Arabidopsis thaliana: one gene and its partner. The protein of the gene in region 1 interacts with the protein of each later gene in a biochemical or structural test. Each region holds a gene or a part of one and is shown in the gene's direction. Other genes may lie near its edges.

Region 1 (5,632 bases):
AATCACGAGGTATATATGTGAATACACATATATTAATGTATGTTGGTAAAATTGGATATTGTGATATGAAGCAACTCGTTTGGACCCCCTTTAGGTGAGGTGGTACTATCAATTTACGAAACGCAAATCATGCATATTATTCATCATGTCTACCTATATTTGTAAGATTTAGTTTTCTCTAATGATTAATCAAGTACTATCATTAGTAAAATCTCTCGAATATATAATATGGATTGCAAAAATATCACATTAATTACCAATCTTTTTTTCTCTATAAAGTACCAGTTAAAATACCACATAGCAGAAGTTATATTCTTAAACAGATCGTTTTCTAAATTTCATGTTAAATTATATTCAAAGTACAAATCTTTTGTAATGGTATTTTTAAAAATGATTATAAACTTGATATTTCATATAGTTAGTTTTGTTGTTTTGTAGGATCATGTAAATTGCTCGTTTTTCAAAATTGATGACTATCTATCTTTTTGACTATACATGCTTTGTCTAATTGTATGTTACTTTCGACACCTTAATTTGTTGATAATATATAAACAAGTGCTTAAAAGAGTATATATAGAAAAAGTAAGGGGGTTCAGTTGATCTGAATGGAAAGTTAAAAAAGTGATCATTCATCACGGTCGAATTTGATCATATATATAAGTTTATGGTAACGTATAACGGTAAAAGCCAGTAAATTTATAGAAGGAATTCCAAATTAAATAATTCTTTAAAATTTCAGTTGAATAAAAGTTCCCAAAGTTAAAATCTTTTTTTTTTTCCAAGACATAATCAAGTAACTTAAGTAAATGTCGGTTTTAGCACAATAATGCAAGAAAGGAAACCTTTAGATCTCTATTGGTCAAAGTAGGGGACAGTGATGTAATTCAAGTCATCGATCTACTGACTACTGGTGTTTGAAGGGGATTACCGACAATGTTCCTATGACGGCGCGTACCTTCCACGCGTCTGTAAAAGAGAGAGACAACTAATAATACAAATCCTAACGCTTAAGCTCTACTATATCGTTTTAACAGTAGTGATCCATATATATGTCCTGTTGAAATTATTTGTTGAACAATAAGATTAAGGGATCACAAAACTACTCCAGCATATACTACTTGGATATGTAGCTCTTGTAAGGCTTAATTTAGATGGTAAGATATAAACATCGAATTTAAGAATAGTCATCAAGAACAGCTTAGGAAACTTCAAATGGCAGATCGAATTTGGATGACAAGTAAGAACACGGTGGGGGGGTTTTTTTTTAACCATAAAGTTATGCTTAACGTTTAGTGATGTGGCTTCCTAACGAATCTATACAACATCAAGTCATCAAATGTAAGTACATTTTGTTGACTAAAACATTGGAAGTGCATGGAATTCAGACACTAGACTAAAGATAAAGATCCTTGCTTTCATTGGGCTGCTCTTTTTTGGTCAGCTTAACTTTTTGACTTAAGAAAAAATAGTCTGTCACCTTCCCTCACCAACTCCTAGTTCATTTCATTTCCACTTCAACCTCTTCAGAACTAAGTAAACTATATAGTCTTCGCATTTAGCTAGTTATGCTTTATAAATTATTAGTACTAACTTTTTGGCGAAGCAATCCGCACACAGATTAGCCCATTTTCCGGTGGGTTTAAGAATCTTCGTCGTGACTAAATATTCAGTACCAAAACAGGCCCATTTATGGCCCAATATAAAAAGCGTCGTCCGTCCACTTAAACTCTTGGCGATCTTTCCCACTTAAAAAAAAAGCGATTGGCTTATCCCTCCGTTGAAAAGACGAAGTAAAATCAGTCAAAACACATCTCCACCGTTCAGTCGCTTCATCACATATATCCAACGGCTGAAAATCATCTAAGCCTGTGGACTTGGAAGCAAAGAGATAATGCTGAGGCGCGTGAGGCACAGTCGCCAACAGAAAATCGGGATGTTTTTTTTTAACTGCAAAGCCAAAGAGACAATTGTATGGTCTCTGGTAAAGGTAAGGCAATCAAAAAAAATATGGCTGCGTCTCCCAAGATAGGCATCGGTATTGCCTCCGTCTCATCGCCTCACCGTGTCTCCGCCGCCTCATCCGCTCTTTCTCCTCCTCCTCATCTCTTCTTTCTCACTACTACTACTACCACACGTCACGGCGGCTCCTATCTCCTCCGTCAACCAACCCGAACTCGCTCTTCTGATTCCCTCCGCCTCAGAGTCTCCGCCACCGCCAATTCTCCGTCTTCTTCTTCTTCAGGAGGTACTTGAGGAGTTCCTCTTTGCTTCTTTCTTAAGGTTTTTGGCAGTGTAAGTAATCGAGCTCTGTGTTGGTTTTTTAATAATTAATTGCAGGCGAGATTATCGAGAATGTAGTGATTATAGGCTCCGGTCCCGCCGGTTATACGGCGGCGATATATGCAGCGCGCGCCAATTTGAAGCCGGTGGTTTTTGAAGGGTATCAGATGGGCGGAGTTCCCGGTGGACAGTTGATGACAACTACTGAAGTTGAGAATTTTCCGGGATTCCCAGACGGTATCACGGGTCCCGATTTAATGGAGAAGTGAGCTATAACATAGTCTGATTCTTTTGTTAGTTTGTGGCGTTTCTTATATGTTTCTGATGCAATTATTTATTGTGTGAAAATTGTAGAATGAGAAAGCAAGCAGAGAGGTGGGGAGCAGAGTTGTATCCAGAAGATGTTGAATCTCTTAGTGTCACAACTGCTCCTTTTACTGTGCAAACTAGTGAACGTAAGGTGATTATCTTTCTTTGTTTTCTCACTATTTCTTTTTCAAATTCTAAATAGTTTTTTTTTTTTGGCTTCAGCTCTCTTCTGATGTTTCCATTTTTTATAGGTCAAGTGCCATAGTATTATATATGCCACTGGCGCTACAGCAAGGAGGTTAAGGTTACCTCGAGAGGAAGAATTCTGGAGTAGGGGGATAAGTGCTTGTGCTATCTGTGATGGAGCTTCGCCTTTATTTAAGGGGCAAGTACTTGCCGTGGTTGGAGGAGGAGATACGGCTACAGAGGAAGCCTTGTATCTCACGAAATATGCCCGTCATGTTCATTTGCTTGTTCGCAGAGATCAGTTGAGAGCTTCCAAGGCTATGCAAGATAGGTGAGTTCTTATATTCATCACGTCTGCCTTATATTCTACTCCTCTTCTTTGATTTCTGAAGATAAACAGTTAAAACTAGATAAATGCTATGTCCAAACTAGGAAATGTGTTTTGTCATAGCTATGTTGAGCGTTCTTTGTTGCATGTATTGACTGCTATCCCCTGTTCCCTCGCAAATCCATTGGATATATCTGGGAAAGCCTTTGGTTATGATTTCCGTTGCATGTAAATTTATAACCAACCAGTAGAGTGCTTTTTTTTTTTGCTGGCTATCGGAATTATAGACTAATGAGCACAACGTAAGTTGAGTCTTTTCAACACCCTGAGTGTTTTTTTAACAGGTTGGTTATGGCGAATGTTTCAGAGTGATCAACAATCCAAACATCACAGTGCATTACAACACGGAAACCGTGGACGTATTGAGCAACACCAAGGGACAGATGTCTGGCATTCTACTCAGAAGACTTGATACGGGTGAAGAAACTGAGCTGGAGGCAAAAGGATTGTTTTATGGAATAGGGCATTCGCCAAACAGTCAGTTATTGGAAGGCCAAGTCGAACTCGACAGCTCCGGGTACGTCTTGGTTCGGGAAGGAACATCAAATACATCAGTTGAAGGTGTATTTGCTGCAGGAGATGTGCAGGTATTCTTCGGAACTTTTAGCAATTTTTCGGTGTTGGTATTAACTCTTTTAAGTCATATTGGTTCGATAATTGTGTTTGCTATATTCTCCTATTTGTCACTCTAGGACCACGAATGGAGACAAGCTGTAACTGCTGCTGGATCAGGATGCATAGCTGCTTTGTCAGCCGAGAGATACCTCACAAGTAACAATCTTCTTGTTGAATTTCACCAGGTAGGAAATATTCAGAAATATCTTATCTCTTAAGCACACGTCACAAGGCTTACTCTCTTTCATGTTCACGTTACAGCCTCAAACTGAAGAGGCCAAGAAAGAATTCACACAACGGGATGTCCAAGAAAAGTTTGACATCACTCTTACAAAGCACAAGGGACAGGTTTGTTAACATATGAACCTTAACTTGTTACCTACAAGCATTTTCTCTGCCTCACATCTTTCTCCTTATGTTTTTTCCCCTGCTTTCAGTATGCTCTTAGAAAACTATACCATGAGAGTCCAAGAGTTATATTGGTACTATACACTTCACCAACATGTGGCCCCTGTAGGACTCTGAAGCCTATTTTGAACAAGGTATTCCTTTATTAGTCGAAATGAAACTCATCGGAAGAGATCTTTTTGGACTGATTTACTTGACCATTTGTTCACTTCTCCTTCATTTTGTTTCAGGTGGTCGATGAGTATAACCATGATGTGCATTTTGTTGAGATTGACATCGAGGAAGATCAAGAAATTGCTGAAGCAGCTGGAATTATGGGAACCCCATGTGTGCAGTTCTTCAAGAACAAGGAAATGCTCAGGTTAGGAAACGTTCTCTCAGTTTTAAAATTGCATAGATTATTGTGTTCAGGTTTGGCTAAAGATTCCGAGTCTGTGTAGGACTATATCGGGTGTGAAGATGAAGAAAGAGTACCGAGAATTCATTGAGGCCAATAAATGAGGACACCAGATAGATATTGTTTCTGGCAGATGCCAAATCTTATCATGATTCAATTTTGTTCATTCAAATACTTTGGAGTTACTGGAGCAACGCCATTGAATCTCAAATGTAAACAAATAGAATCATCATCTTAAGCTGCACGCATAATGTGGTACAATTTGCTTTAAGATTTTACAAAACAACTACCCGTTTTGAATTGGGGTGGTCAGTTTCAGTTTCAGGGACATCGTCAAGGATAAAGGGACCAAGTCTACCTGTCCTAAACAAAGTAAGAAATTTCTTGGAGACCATTAACCTTGCTTCGGATGCTTTGTGAGGAATCTTCAATGCCTTTTGTAGAACTTCAAACTGTTGCTCTATCAAACATTCTAAATCATTCTCATCCTCCGTGTCCCCATCAAATTCTGAGAGTGTTATATACAGTGATCGTTGCACTTCTGAAATCATATCCTGTAGATGACAGGGAACCTTTCATTGGTCAGGACAATTTCAGAAGGAAAGCAAGGTAGAGATATAAGGTTATTATGCTAACCCCGACATAGTGCAGAGCAGATGAATCTGGTTGTTTGGTTCTCTGGTGTCGAAGATCCTTTAAGTTATAGCTTGGCTTATCGATGCAGTCTGCATGAGGCCCTTCGTTTATTCCCTCAACTAAGTACTTCCAATGAAGAGGAGTCCCTCGAATGTTTAGAATAGCTAGAAAGTATTGTGCAATCCGCTCTTCACCCACTACTGAATCTTTAACGGACCCTTAGAATGTCAAACGCATAACAATTAGCTAGAGAGATCATATGCTGTAAGAAATACGGCCCTATATTAGAGAAAAACTAAGAACTGAGATTATAAGACCTAAACTGTATCATCATTTGATGAACTAAATCTAGTGTACGGGTTTACACGATCTAGCACCAAGAAGAAAGAAGAGAAAGGAGATAAAGATATAGA
Region 2 (3,600 bases), on another chromosome or scaffold:
TGGCTTGGGAAGCTTGTCAAAGGACCACCCCTCATCATGCTCGCTTAACGTCTTCAAGTCATACACCTCACTTCATGTTTGCTATTGTTTGCCTAACCTCAACTTTCATTCGGCATCAATTCTAGCAAATAAATCCAAGCACCAGAGCACCATCACCACTACCCAAACCTTTGTCAAAGCTCTACTTCATGTAGCTCTCCTCGTGCCGGCGAGAATCATGTCTTTGACCCCTTCATTAACGCCACTTCGTCTTTTGACAGAGACAATTTGTTTTTCCTTTGAATCGCTCTTGAAAGAGTCGTCGATAAACTTTGATCTCACAAGTACCATAAGCATCTTTGCTTTTGGCTCAAAACTCTCAAGGACCCTTTGTCGATTAGCCCTATCTATCTTTTTATCATTTTTCTGGTAACTTTTGGAGTATGCCCCTTATTGTTGTGCTTTAAACTTTGGAACTTTTTCCCTTTATCTTTGTATTTGGCTTCTACATTATGGAATGAAAACAAACATTGTCCAAAAATAAAATAAAAAAAACAATGAGGAAAAAAATCAAACAAAAATAGGAGAATCATAGTCATATTTTTGGATTTAAATTCAAATCTTTTTCCATGGTACATAATCTGCAGCATTTACAGCAAAAATGAAACAAAATCTGTTAGTTTTAAATTTAAAGATATGTTTGCACCCTATAATAATCTCACATAAGTTCTTAAAGATTGAAAAACAAAAATGGTTGCATATGTCAAGAACAACTTTTTATTGGTTCATATAGTAGTTTTACTTCTTTTTGTTGTCTCATCATATGCAAGATTTAATACGAAGGTTACAACAGATGAAATATGTGGCATGTGCGCACGCAGAGCAGTCAATGCGTCATTTTGCTATGAGTTCATGAAATCATCCACTCAAGTTGCAACATTGGATACTTATGATCTCGCCAAATTTTTGATCAATTATGATTTTCAAAACACCTTTGATCTAATAAAGCATTTCCAGTCACTCACAAACAGCACAACCGATCCCAGTTCTAAGGGTTCTTATGAGCTATGTTTACATCTTTTTAATCTTATCAATCCTCTTGAAACCGCACTTAAAGCTTTGGCAACCAATGACTATGACACTTTAAACAGGAATGTTGATGCTATGTCTCAATTCGCGATGGAATGTGAAAGCGAGCTGTCAAGTGTCATCAAGCCTATTCCAAAGCTCTTGAAAAGGGTTTCTATCGTCGAAAATGTATCCGACATTATTTTTGTAATTGTGGAATGTTTTTTAAGAAAAGAAGAAACTTCATGTAAGGAATCAGTATCAAATCTACAATAATAAATTAATAATCATAATGTTGTTTGGTATGATGTTGCCATTACCGATTTACACCGATAATTAATTGTTTTAGTGTTAAGAAAAATCGAAATCCACCACAAGAGCATACCAAATCACGAAAAAGCTTGTTTGATAGATCGGATTGGACCGGCTTTCGTATTTGAAAAAGTCATCGTTCACCTGTGAAAAATTACGCAACTCCGGCGAGGACTATTTTCAACTATGGGCCTAGCCCCAATTAGTCCAATTAGTAAGGAGCTTAAAATGGTTTTCTCAAAGTACGGGGCAAAAGTAAAAGAATAAAAAAGTAGTGGACCTTGAGAAAAGTCATCACCAGCTTTCCTTCCTATGCCACACAAACGTGTTCTTCTGAATATGAGTCAAACACAGAGAAGATTAGGAGAACGTGGAAGAAGAAGCCATGGACTCTATCGTCTCCAGTTCGACGATTCTTATGCGATCATATCTCACTCCTCCGGTTCGTTCATGTTCTCCGGCAACCTCCGTTTCCGTCAAACCTCTGAGCTCAGTCCAGGTCACCTCCGTCGCGGCTAACCGCCACCTGCTTTCGTTAAGCTCCGGTGCTAGAAGAACCAGAAAAAGCTCTAGTTCGGTGATAAGATGCGGCGGAATCAAAGAGATTGGAGAGAGTGAGTTTTCGAGTACGGTTCTCGAATCAGCCCAGCCGGTTTTGGTTGAATTCGTCGCTACTTGGTGCGGTCCCTGCAAATTGATCTATCCAGCTATGGAAGCCTTATCTCAGGTTTGATACATTTAATCTCTCTTTTGTAATCATCAGTTCTTGCTGGAGAATCGTGAGAGTTTGAAATTGAATGAGATCGTCAGAGATTTTCACGCATGATTTGGTGGTACAAACTTGGGATTTGAGATTTTATGTATGAGAAACTATTGTTAATCATATACCATTAGCTCTACAACTACTAAAAATGTCAGTTAGTGACTACTGTTTAGAGTTGAGCTTCCTTTTGCAAGTGCTTAGAGAATAAATTCAGTTCTGAGTGTTTTTAGTTGTCTTGGTTATTTAAACTCAAAATGTTTCCTTTGTTTCTCAGGAATATGGTGACAAATTGACGATTGTAAAGATTGATCACGACGCTAATCCAAAGTTAATAGCGGAGTTCAAGGTTTATGGTTTACCGCATTTCATTCTCTTCAAGGACGGGAAGGAAGTTCCAGGGAGCAGAAGGGAAGGTGCTATTACAAAGGCCAAGCTTAAGGAGTACATTGATGGTCTCTTGAACTCAATATCTGTTGCTTAATCGTCTCTCTCCCCACCGGTATTCTTCTGTCTCAACACTGTTTTTTTAATGTAATCAAATCTCTTCAATTGTGATGATCTTCATCCCCGGTTTCTCATTTGATGTGTATATCTTGCAACAAATTTTACGAATAGAAAAGAGTTGTTCTCTTATCAGGGAAATATGTATTTAGGCTTATTTGCTTATGCTTGCAACAAATCTAGTTAGGTTTTTGCATTTCTTACAGATAATCTCATTTGTTGGTAAAAAGAAAAGAAAATCAAATGCAACTGGATGCCAAGAAACAAATTCTGCTTGGATTTTATTGGAATGAATCAGGTTAAAGAATTCAACATTTAAGATTTTTTCAACAACTTCCATTCTTCTTCTTCTTTTCGTCTCGGCTGCAGATTCTCACATCTTGCTGCCTTATTTTCCCTTGAAAAAGCAACCAAAAACCCGTGCTTAAGCAAAACCAATGCCTAGAACTTTGAAACATTTCACTTTCTTGGCTCTTCAAACCTCCTTGACGTAGTTTTCTTCACCTCCTCCAATAACAGCATCATCTGGCATGTAACGTTTCCAGAACGGATGTTGCTTCCATACTCTTCCCATTTCTTCAATTGGAACCCCTTTTGTCTCCGGCAACAAGAAGTAGATGAAGACGGTCATGACTGCAACCATTCCTCCAAAGAAGTAGAAGAGACCAAACTTCATGTGGCAAAGCATCGTGAGGAAAAACTGTCCAATGAGGAAAGTGAAGAACATGTTGACAGAGACGTTGATGGCTTGTCCCGCTGGTCTGATTTCCAATGGACAGATCTCACTTGGTACTAACCATCCTAATGGACCCCATGACCATGCAAATCCTGCAACATACAAACATATGAAAGCCAGGATCCAATCTGCTGTTGCAGGTGTTAAGGTCCCTGATCCCGTGGTTCCAAACTTCATACCAATCAAGGTACCAACAACGATCTGCAAAATGACCCATCAAACAATATATGTAAGGTACGCA

Evidence for each region.
Region 2: the proteins of NTRC (region 1) and THX form a complex in vitro, tested with the Arabidopsis thaliana proteins (one study listed by BioGRID).

What each region holds. Positions count from the first base shown.
Region 1 is NC_003071.7:17,375,404-17,381,035, reverse strand, and holds NTRC (NADPH-dependent thioredoxin reductase C), read left to right. Parts: upstream 1-1,976; 5' UTR 1,977-2,007; coding exon 2,008-2,245; intron 2,246-2,337; coding exon 2,338-2,545; intron 2,546-2,634; coding exon 2,635-2,740; intron 2,741-2,840; coding exon 2,841-3,106; intron 3,107-3,470; coding exon 3,471-3,750; intron 3,751-3,855; coding exon 3,856-3,963; intron 3,964-4,039; coding exon 4,040-4,126; intron 4,127-4,215; coding exon 4,216-4,320; intron 4,321-4,416; coding exon 4,417-4,547; intron 4,548-4,626; coding exon 4,627-4,687; 3' UTR 4,688-4,858; downstream 4,859-5,632. Other genes in the region: AT2G41670 (P-loop containing nucleoside triphosphate hydrolases superfamily protein), read right to left, coding at 4,859-5,137, 5,220-5,437. UniProt on the Arabidopsis thaliana protein: Thioredoxin reductase (TR) that exhibits both TR and thioredoxin (Trx) activities. Contains a C-terminal functional Trx domain.
Region 2 is NC_003070.9:18,637,609-18,641,208, reverse strand, and holds THX (thioredoxin X), read left to right. Parts: upstream 1-1,672; 5' UTR 1,673-1,744; coding exon 1,745-2,086; intron 2,087-2,396; coding exon 2,397-2,603; 3' UTR 2,604-2,825; downstream 2,826-3,600. Other genes in the region: AT1G50325 (Plant invertase/pectin methylesterase inhibitor superfamily protein), read left to right, coding at 730-1,323; STP9 (sugar transporter 9), read right to left, coding at 3,099-3,560. UniProt on the Arabidopsis thaliana protein: Probable thiol-disulfide oxidoreductase that may participate in various redox reactions.